2 linked regions of the Mytilus edulis genome follow. The protein of the gene in region 2 interacts with the protein of the main gene of each other region in a pairwise test. Links are inferred from orthologs where the notes say so. Each region holds a gene or a part of one and is shown on either strand. Other genes may lie near its edges.

Region 1 (7,678 bases), on a different chromosome or scaffold from region 2:
AATGGTGTCAAGCTATCAACTTACAGAAATGGAAGTGTGTAGTTAAACTCTCATCACAAATCAACATGATGAAGCTACACCAAATAATATATTACTAAACACAAACAATAAAAAAAGTTTACAGGGCCAAACTCTTTGAAATACAATTACTCTGTCAGTCATGTACATGTATGGTAAACTATGAGATGTTTAGTTTATGTTCATTTTTTTGGAAGGAGAGGGGGTGGGGGAGAATAGTAAGTTTATTTTGCCTCTTTTGGTTAATAGTATGAATGTGTATTGCCATGTTATATGAACATGTAGTATGAATGACTTTTCTTATGCAAATTTTATAGAATAAATAATCATAACAACAACTTATGCATCTTTATTGACAATATATACAGTAAAAAAATATGTGAACTCGTGATACACGCAGGGACGTAGACAAAAATAAATGAGCAGTGCCTTCTCCTATCATAAAAAAGTGCCCTGCCCTTCACTGGCACCCTGCCCCTTTTGAATTCTAGCTAGAGCACTGATCAACATATGCACTTTACTAAAAATTGGGATAACCAGTTTTCTGCTAAAGTGACAAAATTACAATCTATTGCAGTGTTCTCCCCAGGATATTTGGATAGCACCAGGGTAACGCGTGACGAAATGAATTTTACAATATTGTGTGTCGCGTTGCGTCGCTTATTTTTTTCTTGTTAGTTTTTGTCATTACCTTTTTGCCTTTGTTTTGTTTACTATGGTACTGTGTTGTATGGACTTTGGGTCAGAACATTATTGGTAGAAAAAGTAAATCAATAAAACAGTTTGTATACTTTAATATCTTTGAAAAAGAAAAGAAAGCACAATTAGTCTTTAAACTAAAGTCACTTCTTATATTTTGATCAAGCCATTTTGTCCCAATACTTGTAGTTACACTACACATTCCCCATGTTAGATTTGACCATAACAATGAACTTTGAACAAGATTAATTTTTGATACAGAATCTTCAGTAAATTAAAAACTTTCTATTCTTTTTAACAACAACAAATTAATTTATTTTCTTATGCATATTAGTTTTTACTTTAAATTATTTATATATAGTTAAAATATTTTATTTCAAATATGAATGTAATTTTAAAATTTTTATTCCTATTAAATTTAGGCATTAAGCTTTACATCCATTACAATTTGAAAATTACTACCACTTATATATAAAAGTCTGTGTATCAATAAAGGTATGATTCTCTAAAATAATTTGCAAAACATTTTAGTTGGTATGTTCTACGAAAGTTTTTATCCTTAATGTAACATTCTAATATAATTTTGCATTCAATTTGTACTTTATTCTAATTTTCAATGAGAAATTATGTGTGAGGAGCATTTATTTGTAATAAGCAAAATCAGGGGAAGTAACTCCACAATTAATTTCTAACAGGCAAATTATTTTGACTAAAGACTGGCGTAATAGAGTTCATTAACAAATGTCTGCTTGTCCCCTATTACAAGTCTGTTATTAAAAATATGATCTCTTAATTAATTAAAACACAAGAGAATCATGTACACCGATTAAATCCAATCATCAAGGTTAACCTCAACAGGTAAATCGATCACGTGGTGTAAACAATCTACTTGTCAATACTGGATTAAACTGGTTAGAACTGGTCAATTTTCATGTAAAATTTTAATCCTCACTGAAAGTTGAAGTCATCTGAAACTTTACCGATTTTGATACGATTTTTTTACCGAAAACTTAAGCACCACGGAGAAAAATTATACATCGCGGCAAGAACGATACCACCGCGGTAGAAAATTATACATCGCGGGCCCGTGGTCCTTTAAGGGCCTGGGGAGAACACTGTATTGTATACCTATCTGAACACCTGATCAACAACAAAAGGAATAGTTGACCTTTAAATTTCATGTTAAATCGAACAATAGAAATTCTGTTCAGTGAGGCATAAGTGAGTAGAATTTACCTGATCATCACAGCTTTCAATCATGGTGAACAATAGATTTTATATTTAGTCAGATAAGCATCAAACTGGGCATGTGCATATTAAATTAAGTACATCAATTGGTGCATCAACTGTTCCAGGTTACTGCCATAATAAGTAGAGAATGCCATTCTGCCCTATTTTGATTTAAATCCAGTCTAAACAAAAATACCCCTCTATAGAGGGATAAATTTACCCCTCTATAGAAGGATTATCCCTCTATACAGGTATAATCACCATATAGAGGGTTTGTTCCCAACCTGTTAAAAGGTAGGTCAGTAGTGGTTTTTTTTTTGCGATTTATGAATGGAATGTGAAAAACTATATCTCGAGTGAACGCGATTGATAGGTTAGATTATTTTTACCGATAACCCCTACGAATTTCAGCTGACGGCGACTATAGTGAAAAATTTGCAATAGTCATATAAGGAAAAAAAATTATAATTAGTTTCCGTACTAGTAGATGAAAAAGTATCAAAATTTCAAGTGTTATTTGGTTATTAAAAGTGTTATTCGGTCATTTGAGGTACAAAGTCGTACCAATTGCATCACTGACATTGTTAACTTAAATTCAAAGACAGTCAGATAAAAAAATGTTTTGCCTATCTACCTTTCCTTTTTTTTTCAGTGCATTAGTGGAAACACATGTATTTCTATAAATGTGCCGCCTTGCAAGACTTGGTAATCATTTGGGCGTAGAAAATCTACCCAGAGGTAGAAAAAAAATAGAATAGCAACCTCATAATTATTTGGACTACAGGTCTAAACCAGTTACTGAGTTTTACTGTATATCTCCAGTTAAGAACAAGATTTTTATGGACAGCATGTTTAAAATGTGTGAGCATATCTCCCAATCAGAAGATATTAAATTTTTATTTATTGAAAAGGAGATGAACAAGATCATAAATGTTTGCATCTTCATAACATTTGGTATTGTTTTAGTAACGAAACGTGAATAAAAGTGATTCATAACGCTATACCTCTCCGGCTTTGTCTTTAGCCTCTGCCAAGACACCAAAGTCTTTATACATTTGTTCTACTGTCACCATTTCTTTATATTTGGAGCAACTCGTAGAAATGAATAGAAAACGTTTTCCTTGCGCGTGGGTTACCGGCGGAAGTAAATTCTGATACAATAAAGTGTTGATTTATAAAACCTTAACGGTCTCACTAATTAGCGACAACAAGAATTTTAGCGACAACAAGCGTCAACAAGCGACAAGAAGCGACAACAAGAATTATTTTAGCGACAACAAGCGACAAGAAACTATTTAGCGACAAGAAAACATTTTATTTTAATTAAAATTAATTATTGCAATAAATATTAAAAGAACATGCAAAAGAAAATAATTTTAGCGACAAGAAAGTTAAAATTGATAGAAAAAAATGAAACATTATTTACATAATATTTTATCATCTATTATGAATAACAGCCAGTATTACGTTTAATTATTGTAAAAACTCTTTTCGTGCAATATGTATTAAGCTCGCAAAATGAATTACTTGTGCATCATTGTCCTGAAAATATTGACACAAATTGTGAAATACAAAGAACTGAAACCAAACAGGAGGAAAAGAAAATTGAAATGTGAATGTGTTCATCTTTTTATTTATTTATTGCCTCATTAAACGATATTTATCATGTTTATGCATATTGATTGAAGATGAAAGGAAATTAATGACAATCTTGAGTTTTCAACAGGTGTTCACTATTTATAATGATTGTATATTCTGGCGCGTGTAATTGTATAGTCTGACGTGTGTACAAAGTTGAAGGTGTTAATTGGATGTTATTGTAGCAATAAAACAGGGGACACGCGACTCGTTAATCTCATTTGATGTTCCACATTGTGTGTACTGTTATTACCTTAGGATGAAGCCACATCTAATGTTGTTCCTATCAAGAACAATGAATTATACTGTTAGAAAGGAAATAATATTTCATGTTTTTGTTTCAATAAATCCTTCAAAGGAAAGTTGACCTTTTTTTTTTTGTTTTTGTTTCAATTTTGTAGCGTGTGCATTTCCTTTACTCTACCAAGCTGACTGAAGCAATTCAACTTTTATGTTTAGTATAAAGTAAATTGTCAGCATTTCAGTATTATTCTCACAAAAGTACGTGCTCAATATATGGACCCCAAGGTAGAACCACGTCCTCGTCGTGGGGTCTGGAAACACGCTTAAATAATAAAGATGGCAAAGCGTGGCTGAGAGTTCTACAAATAAAGCAAGCATCGAATTGACATAACAAGAGTACACTTAGAGCATAGTATTAAGCAAATGAATCAAAATATTATATTCCATTATGCCCGCTCCATATATATCTCCATTCGTTTATTCATACTTTGACTTTGATGAAAACAGATACATCTACATTATCTTATACATATTCTTCATATTTAAAAATAAAAAAAAAAAAGAAGCTCAATCTCTTTCTTTTTCACAAATGTTAAATTTCTTCATCTACCAATATACTAATATAAACTTCACAATCTCTTTCTTTCTCACAAATGTTTCATTTCTTCATCTATCTATATAATAAAACATTTTAATTAGACATATCTGCTCGTATATTTAAAATTTAAAAAAAAAACATTAAATACAAATTTCTTTATATCTAATAAAAAAAAAATGTTTTCTTGTCGCTAAATAGTCTTCTTGTCGCTTGTTGTCGCTAAAATAATTTTTGTTGTCGCTTCTTGTCGCTTGTTGTCGCTTCTTGACGCTTGTTGTCGCTAATTAGTGAGACCCAACCTTAATGATCATTTATATATCTCTTAAATGGCCTGTTACAAGTGTTATAATAACTAGTCTCATTCTGTAAAACATAAAAAAATTTTTTAATAAGGCCGTTTTTCATTTGATAATATTTGTCTTTATTTGTTTTTTTGACATTTTTTTGGTGAAGGAGGTCAGCCCAACGAACATAAGACAATTCGCCCCCAAAGTCTCGCCACCGTTTAATAGTTCAATTTCTGGTATTTTTCTCATGAAGTTTATCCTGTTAATAGATCTTAATAGCTAAGTGGCATACCAACTTCGGATATCACCTGTTAAACAAATAAAAACACTTAAGCCGTCATAATGTGGAAAAATTTGTTTGATTCTTGTTTATGTCACACAAATAAATATGTATTATACGGAGATGCTACAAACATTTAATAAGCTCCAAAGGAGAGCAGCCATATTGATCAGGCATTAGTATTCTCGAGACTGGCCAGACATTTAGTTACCGGTTGGTTTATTTAGAGGACCGATTACTGGAGAAACAAAAACATCACCTCTCATGACCCCTTTTTCACAACATATTGTGAGTAATCATTCAACTAACTAATTTCAATCCCAATTTCATAATTTTTGTAGCAAGACTGGCTCGTCATTTCCATAAAAAAAAACAAGAATATGTCCCCGGTACACGGATGCCCCATCTGCACTATTATTTTCTATAAAATTGAGAATGGAAATGGGGAATGTGTCAAAGAGACAACAACCCGACCAAATAAAAAACAACAGCAGAGGGTCACCAACAGGTCTTCAATGTACATGATGTAGCGAGAAATGCCCGCACCCGGAGGCGTCCTTCAGCTGGCCCCTAAACAAATATATACTAGTCCAGTGATAATGAACGCCATACTTATTTCCAAATTGTACACAAGAAACATTTCTAAGCTTCATAATTGTTTTGTTAGTGAATTCTATAATAAAGGAGCAAAGATTGGCGTCCAGAATATGAACCAGCATACAATAATTTAAGTTATATAATTACCCGAAAAAGATAGGGTATATCAGGGTAGGACTGATGGCTGACTAAATAGTAGAATGGGGCTGAATATTGAAATACTACTTTTTGATAAATATTCCTAAAGTAATGAACTAGAGCAGTTCTCGCTCGGACACACACTCAGTGGACCGTGGAAAGGGGAGAAAATCTCTAATTTAGCATTGAAATAAGAAAAGATCATATTCATAGGGAACATATGTACTAAGTTTCAAGTTGATTGGACTTCAACTTCTTCAAAAACTACCTCGACCCAAAACTGTAGCCTGAAGCGGGGCGAGCGGACGAATGGAATAACGGGCGAACAGACGAACGAACGGACGCACAGACCAGAAAACATAATGGCCATAAATGGGGCATAATAAAACACGATTTGTCAGATGAGGATCAAGTACTGACAAACAAAAACATAGTTTCTTCGTAAGATCCATTACAAACTGGAATGAACTGCCGCCTATATAGCTAGCCTAATTGGACATTGTTAACTATAATACATCAAGACCGACCTCATAGCACACGGATTATATGCGTTAATCAACATACAAATGTGGGTTTTTTTTCTAAAATTTTGCGAAATATCATGGTTACTTTTCAATCTTATTTTATTGTAAGGATATACACCTATCATGCAGTGAGGAGCCAAAGCCTTTCTAGAATTAAACTTTTAATCTTAACCTGATTTTTGGGTTTGAGTGACTGTCAACAAATTGATGAAGAAAAATCATATGGTGGTGCACTTCTTTTTTTGCTTCAACCATTTGAAAATACCAATTTTGATGATTTTCCCTTTTTCATAATTTTTTACACATTCTTGTGCTATTATCATGAAAAAAAATATGACAGTTTCACAGTTAAACTTTTTTTAATGCTTTCACTAAAGATGACAATCTGAATAAAGTTAACTCCAAAAAAATATAGGTAGGTGTTTAGTTTAAACATATTTCATTTGCTTAAATGTGCAAAACGTAGGTGTTGCCATATAAATCAAAAACATGATCTGTGACAAACATAACATATATACAAAAATAAACAGTACAATATTAAAATACAAAATGTAGCAGTTCAAATTATTGTTTTGAGTCTCCCGTCCTCAGTTCTAATGACTGTCTTATAAAGGAAACTTTATTTTTAATTTGACTGTGAGACGTGGGGTTTAGTAATAATTTATATATAAGTTTAAGCATGTCATCTTTAGCAGTATCTTTCCACTCCGAATTCATTTTAATGGAGTCAAATTTTTTTTTTCTATAAAAGTTAAATTTAGGGCATTTGAGAAAGAAGTGTTTTTCGTCCTCTATCTCATTACAGAATTTTCAATATCTCTGATCTCTAGGGATCTTTTAAGATGTCTACCCTTTTCTGAATTTTATTAACAGTTCAGAATGGTTAAAAAGTTTTGTAAATTTGGGATTTTTCTCTCTTTTTTTTGAAAAAAAGCACTTTATTTTAACTTCTTTATTATACTTATGGTAAATTGTAATTTTACAGAAGATGTTAGGGAGCTACCATTTGATTTAGGGAAGGGGGAGGGGCTTGGATAAAAAAAAATGGCCTGCGTTTTTTTTTTTTTAATTGAAATCTCTGTCCTGCCCATTTTTTTATTAGTTTATCCTGAGTTTCTTTTTTCCCCCAAATTGTCATCTTGCCTTTATTTTTTGTGCCATGCAGGTATTTCTTCCTGTCTTTTTTCAAAATTTCAACCTAGCTCCCCTTAACAATCAAATGGTAGCTCTCATCTCATCTCATCATCTGGGATGGAAGTTTATGCACTGGTTTAAGCTCCTCTCCGTCTGTGCTTTTCCTACACGAAGCTGTCAACGACGGGAATTTGTAGGGTAGTGCAATAACTAAATAAACCGTCCGGTTAATGCATTTCTTTGGAAAACCTTGCTAACGTGCATTCTTTATTTATTTTTTATATTTCAAGAT
Region 2 (7,239 bases):
CCAAGATTGCATCCACTCTCGTTATGGAATAGGTACAATACCTCTTTCAGTTTGTCTTTATGAATAACAAGTTTGAATGTTTTCTCCAGTGTTTTTTTTTTTGTCAACATGTATAAAACATTTCATTGTTTTTAATTACAAATTGCTTGGCCTGCCTTCTAAATGATCTTCTTTCATTATTATAATATCAAACTCTAGAGGGTATTGACCATCACACAAAAAGTCATATAGCTGTTTATATTCACCAATTTCCATTTTTGTTTACATCTCTGTTGTCCTGATTTAAATTTCAATTTAAAAATGTGTTATTCTGTCCCGTGAACGAAATTTCACAGAAGACACAATTTCATGGGACACTTTTTTGGCTTACAAAAAACTCATCAACTAAAATAATCAAATTAAAACGATGTTTTTGTTTAATTTTATTTACATAAATAAGTTGACTTGTCCCCTATTTTACTTTTGGTTTCTGATGCTGAGTCATGTTCCAACTGATTTGTCTCATGACGAGTATTAACCCTGTTCTTGTTAATGCATTATGACATGCATACATCCCGGTACGTGCAATGGACGCTTTCTGATACCAATGCCTTAGTCTTGTTATCATCATCACCCCTCAGCTCTCAAAAAGAAGCTAATCACATTTAATATTATTACCGGAAATTTACTTTCGTTTCAGTCCATTGCAACTGTAATGATAAATCCCGAGCAATACGAAAAGAATTATGACGACATGACAAACGCTAATTCTATAAAGACAGAGAAGATCGAAAAGTTTTCATCACCACGTGTACCTTTGGAGTAAAGGAAAATTTCAACAGGGAACCTTTCAATGCTCTATTTTAAGAACGAAAGGGCATTTCCAATTTAAACTATTTACACGACGACTATGTAATAGATAAGGCTAAACTATGCACACGATTTATCAGGATCTCTGATGTGATTATTAATAAAATATAATAAAACCAAAATGTATATGCTGTATAATTAATGTTTATTTCAAAACGGATTATCTTGAAACGTGGTGCATTCTTACTTTATGGGCCGAGTAATCTTAGGCCGAGTTGACTATATATAGCGACTGGTTTACGGTAGAAAATTTACCCTCCAGTATCTGTATCTGTATGTAAATAAAGAGGTCATGGAACCAGTGTAGACAAAATTCGACGAAGTTGTCAGATATGACCGGCGTTTGGACTGTATTTGCCGAAAGTACAACAGATTGATGTTCAATGACAAATAAATTTACTAGCCCCTCGGGCTACCGCGCCACGGACATTTACTAGCCCCACACAAAAGTAACTAGTCTCGGGCTGTCGAACCCTGTTGTTGTCTTTTTCACACATTCCCCATTTCAATTTTCTATTTTATGAATTTTTTTTAAATGTCATATATATAATGGTTATTAATTAAAATGTGCAATCTCCCCATCCATGTTTGACTCAACACCAACTTCAAGTCAAGAAAATTATTTTTAACTAAATCATGTTAAGAGTATTCCATAAAAAGATGATTGGAATCAGTTTGTGCAAATCAACATACATAATTTGTTATATTTCTGATATTACAGTTTTGTAGTTTTCATCTATATTTGATAATGAGAAAAGATGAACGTGTTTAGTCAGTTCGTTTGTTGATAATCATTTGTTTTTTGCAGTTATTGTTGTGTCTATGATTGAAAGATAGATCTGTTTCCACAAGATGACTTTGCGTGAAATAAATGAAAAAGTATGTTTGGATTTTCTCTATATTTTAGCTCTATCCTTCAGACTTGTACTGAATTTGTTGATAATTGTTTTAATGATTATTAGAATTAATCCATTCACATCCACAACCATTAATTTCAAGGCAATAATAAGATATGAAGAATAAGTCCTTATGGTAACAGTAAACTTGTAGTTTTATTGGAGTACTGATTTTTCTTACCACTGCATTTATTGGCTCATTATCATCTTGATCTAGAAAGAAAGAAAACAATACTTAAACAATATAATACATGTGGCATTCAACAAAATATAAATATACAATAAGAATCTGGATTTATTTCTGAGATTCTTATCATTGTACTGTCTTTTTCTAGAGGTTTCATTCCAGGACCTTTTTAGCTTTTTATTTGTACATGGCAAAATTTATGAACACTGTATGGTGATATTTAGTTTTTTTACACCCTTTCCTGTGATGGACTGTTTTCTGATTGGAATCATCTAGTTATCTTTATTTTGGATAATACATTTGATGATCCATCTCACTACATATTGTACATGTTATATGAGTATTGATTTGTGTAAAAGTAATAATCTAATTGTTGCTAATTGGTTCTGGTAAAAAAAAGTTTAATCAATGGAGTAAAATTTACATAATATACTGTATAAATCTCCTAATTCAAGCTGCCAGAAAGTTATTCTAAATGTTCTTTTGTATGCAAATAAAGAAAAGTCATTACAAACAATCATTCTACCAGTTACTTACTTTCAGGATTTTCATCTGTCTCCTGTTCTTCTCGTAGGAACTGAAATAAACGAAGACAAATGAGCATGGTAGTAAACCATATTATAAAGTGATTGTCACAAGTTCTAAAACCAAGAAAAAAACAACAGAATCAAGCCGACATTGTTAGTGCTTTGACTTTCTTTAAAAGAGATATTTATTGTTTTTTTTTCCATTTTTTAGTCTATAATTTAAGAATTATCTCCCTTGGGTAACAATTTTGGCTTCGACTACAATTATTACTGACATTTTAAACTGTACTTTAACAAGGTAAAAGTGTGACAGATATAGAATGATGAACATAGCTTTTTGAAATACCAAAAACTACAGGCTAGCCGCTACAGCAAATTATATTTTGATTTTTTTAATATTTTGTTTGAATCACTTTGATACACCTGATACATTTTTCAGATGCTATATTCATACGGTTTATTTTGCATTACCGTTCTGAGTCTCTCTACAATATCTTCCTTTTTTCCACTCTTAGAAAGACCCCTTTTATCACATTCTTTCTTCAAATCTACCACGCGATAGTCATTTATGTCTTTTCCCCTTAAAGTCGGAGCATCAGTGTCCGCCATTGTTGACATGTGCTGTCGTTGATTTCCGTAATAGTGAAAATTACTGTTATTTTTTATTCATTATAAGTTTCAATTAAATTAAATAAAGTAAAAACACAGTGAATTCTTTATACAATTGTGCCTACTTAGAAAAAAATACTACATTTAAATTTCTTTTGTCTGTCGATAGTTTCCGTATCCCGGAAGTGACAAAAAGCTGTCTGCAAAATAAATGAAGCTGCAGGTGCCCTAAAACAATAATCTGTTTAAATACAAACGAATATTGAGGATGACAGCTGTAAATACGACAATCACAACAGTGATGAGAACAGTAGCAGATGCGTTAAAGCTAGATGGAGACGGAAAAGTTCAAGTATATATGATAACTGTGAAGTTTGTGATCATTTCCAAAGTTCAATTAGTAATCACAAACCAACTGTTGAACAGTTGAATGATTTATGAGGAAACATGTACATTGAATTTACAAAATTTAAAGTTTCTTTAAATTTCTGCCATGCTCTGTCAGTTTCAACTTGCCCCTGTTACTGCTGACACAGTCTAGACTATGCCATTCAAACCTTATGGCTTCAACAATAATAGTGGACATGGTGGAATATTACATATTCTGTTACACTTGACCATCATGACCATTGGCCTCATACAACAGCCAAAACTTCTTTGTGTCATCAGACATCTTGTCTTGTTACTTGAAAATTCTAAAGTCATATGAAACAAATTTCTGGTGATTTAGCATAAAGGTTTAGGAAAAGTGAAACCACAAAAATGCTGAACTTCGTGGGGATTGTAGAGTGGTCAGTGGTCCAGACATACTTTTGATACAATTATCTCTGTGATAACATCTTACATTAATTTGTATGATCTTTTACAATAGATAAATCAGCTGTCAGATCTGTAACAATTCCATCTTCATGCCTTTTATATCATGTACTGTGTTACGACGCTAGATTAAAACTGACAAGGAAAGGTAACACCATGCCACCAAAAGCTTTATTATTTGTAGAGCCTAGGTGGTTGTGTGGTCTAGCCCTTATGGCATAGTGCAAGGCAAATTTGGTGCCACAATATCTCAGTGGCATGAATTTCGAAATCCTGGCAAGGGAAGATAAAAAAAATTGTGAAAGTTAAATTTACAGATCTAACATTATTGGGCTGATGTTAAGAAGAGTTATACATACTTATACATAAACATTTATATATTCATCATGTTCATTTAAAAGTATCAATGATTTTTTTTTAGGAATCATATATGAAGTATTTAGAATGTGTTTTGAGAATTAGTACAAAGTTGCTACAAGATGCTAGACTTGGAGGTAGAGTTGATATATATGATCCCTGTATTCTATTTTATAAACTGTGATATGACAATGTATGATTGTTGAGTGTTACAGTATGGTTAGCATGAAGGCTTTACTAATATGCCCACCTTAGTCACCTAATCATATGGAAAAGAAGGAATATAATTCATGACATAAGACATTTGAAAATAAACAAAAGTGCTTTTATAAGTGTCCCTATCTTTAACAGGTCGAGAACTCTAGATTTCCTGACGTCCAAATATATTTGCATAGTAATTTCCAAAACACAAGGCCAATACGGCCTTGAAAAACTGACCAATTGACTCAATGAACTACAATGCATTGTGGGCTACTATGAGTCTACACCATTTGAAAACATGTGGAATTAGTGGAAAAACTGTCCACTAACATAGTGTCTGGGACTCTGAAAATAAATGTTTTTGGTCTACGAATATGTTTATTGTAAAATATATAACATAATCTTCAATTTGCATGCTCAGATTAAAAAAATATTGTTTACAGGCTTCATGATTCGACTTTCCTTTTCGCCTTGTAAAAGTAGTTGAACAGGTTTTTTCCATTGTTATGCATTGTACTTGTGCAATAATTTCACGGCGTGAAACAGTGAAATTTTAGATGAATTGACCACTGTCTAGTATGAACAATTTTTGAGCTCTTTTAAACCTGTATAATGTCATTCCAAAAACATTTCTGTGTAGAAAAACATGAAAACTGGCACTGAAACACTTCTATCTGTACTGGATGTGTAAACTTTTTTTTATCAGGACCTGAACTAAAAGTAAGAGCACCATAATATTCAGTATGCTAGATATAAGTGTTATTAAAGCGGTGACGGTAAATAACTTAACATACATGTACTTTGTATAGTTTCATCCATCGATAATGTCTGTCTGTTGCTTATTTAATCCCAAAATATACCTCAGAGGTATTCTTATCGTTTGGCTGCTGTCCAAACGACGTCAAAATCTCCAATTATTTAAATCCTCTGGATCATAGTGGGTTCCATATTACCTATAAGTTTTTCTGAAACATGCCGTGCATATAGAACTAAGAAGATGAGGTATGAGTGCCAAATGAGACATCTTTCCATCCAAGACACAATCTAGTAAAGTAAGCAACTATTGGTTCAATGTTGAAAAGTAAGCTATAAAGGGACCAAAATTTACTTGTGTAAAAGAATGCAATTTTAACAAAACATATCAATGCTTCCACTTTGTCGCACATAAAATGAATAGCATCATTAATGGTTTTAATAAGGTTGGCAAATGTAAGAGTCCGTTAAAAAAAATCCAATGTTGCTATTAGAAAAAAATTGAACTTTGTAAAGACGAAAAACAAAATGAAACTCAGTTGCTGCTTCACTACCTACAGAACAAAAGGAAAAGTTTGAAAGTCCCAAATACTGAAATATGTCAAAAATCAATTATACCTATAGTTTTTGTTAAAACTGTCAGACAAGAATTTAAAAAGATCTTGTGCAGTTTTAATGAAATATGATGGATCATATAGGTTTTGTGCATGTTCTGTATCGCTAAAATTCTCAATATGGAAATATTACTTAAGTGTTCTACAGACGTCAGTAAATATTTCATAAGGGAAAACCGAACTTTCTGAAAAATGTTTGTATACAAAAATAAGGAGATGTGGTATGATTGCCAATGGGACAACTATACATTTAAGCTCAAATGAAATGGATGTAAGTAGTGATGGGCATCTGTAATGCCTTCAACAATGAGAAACACCCATACCGTATAATTGGTCCCTATTCGGCCTATTGATGAATATTCGTTGTTGTTTCTTAAAGACAAAGGAATAAACACATGCTTTTCCTCGATTTAAATTACTTTTTAATCATAAAAGAAGGTACAATATCATAAAATAAATTTTGTGAAAACTTAGAAAGTTTTGTGATCTCATCAGATCTTTGACAAACTCCTAGTCTTCGCCTTTTTACGAACACAAAATTCAAGGATCATATATTTTTCTTTAACTATCTTCCAGTATACAAAATTTGCTGCCCTCATGCATATTAGCACCGGCTAGTTTTGACGGCTTACTTTATACTAGTAAGTTAGTCTGATGGGTAATTGTGTTTTTCACTGTTGTTTCGCTGCTGTCTGGTGGACGAATACCTGAAATCTCGGTGTCATCATCAAACATATTAATGGCTGTACATCGGGTAATTCAAACACTTGTTTCTTGGCATAGAAACAACTCTTTGTTAATCTGAGCATTGAACGAATACTTTATATCCTGAACTATAAATGTGGATACAAAAAATGAAAAACTAAGCGAAATTGTTAATCCCACATTGAACAAAAAATAAGTTGTATTTTAATAAATAACACGCATGTTTGGTTGATTGTAAACACGTAGTAGTCCATCATGCATTGTTACTCATTTAGTGGATTGGTCAAAAACCCAGGAAAAAATAAATTGCGTCACACGTAAATAAACAATAACATTTGCTGCGTATTGCAAGGACATAAATATATATTCTCCGGGTGTGAGAATTTCTCGTTGCATTGAAGACCTGTTGGTAACCTTCTGCTGTAGTCTGCTCTATGGTCGGGTTGTTGTCTCTTTGGCACATTCCCCATTTCCATTCTCAATTTTATGCTAATTAATTCATTTCTGTATAAGGTAGTGTTCCTGACCTGTTAAAGTCATTGTGAAAATTTCTTAAAATCATTATTTTAATATTCTATCTATGAATTTTGTTGAATGTGTAAATACAGTCTCATTTATTAAAAGTCAAACTGGGGATGTAAGATTATATTTATGAGGGATACTAGTAGTATGGTATATTCTTTGGAAGTTTTAACAACCATAAGGAGTTGTGCAATGTTCTTTAG

Evidence for each region. The genes of interacting proteins can lie anywhere in the genome.
Region 1: the proteins of apoptotic chromatin condensation inducer in the nucleus-like (region 2) and apoptosis inhibitor 5-like interact in a two-hybrid assay, tested with the Drosophila melanogaster proteins (2 studies listed by BioGRID). The link is inferred for Mytilus edulis from reciprocal best matches to the Drosophila melanogaster genes Acn and cass.

What each region holds. Positions count from the first base shown.
Region 1 is NC_092350.1:89,949,027-89,956,704, reverse strand, and holds the start of apoptosis inhibitor 5-like, read right to left. Parts: upstream 3,108-7,678; 5' UTR 3,021-3,107; coding exon 2,952-3,020; intron 1-2,951. UniProt on the Drosophila melanogaster protein: Antiapoptotic factor. Also known to efficiently suppress E2F1-induced apoptosis.
Region 2 is NC_092348.1:35,036,053-35,043,291, forward strand, and holds the start of apoptotic chromatin condensation inducer in the nucleus-like, read right to left. Parts: upstream 3,088-7,239; 5' UTR 3,078-3,087; coding exon 2,931-3,077; intron 2,510-2,930; coding exon 2,470-2,509; intron 1,959-2,469; coding exon 1,927-1,958; intron 1-1,926. Other genes in the region: VPS9 domain-containing protein 1-like, read left to right, coding at 3,337-3,420, 4,306-4,378.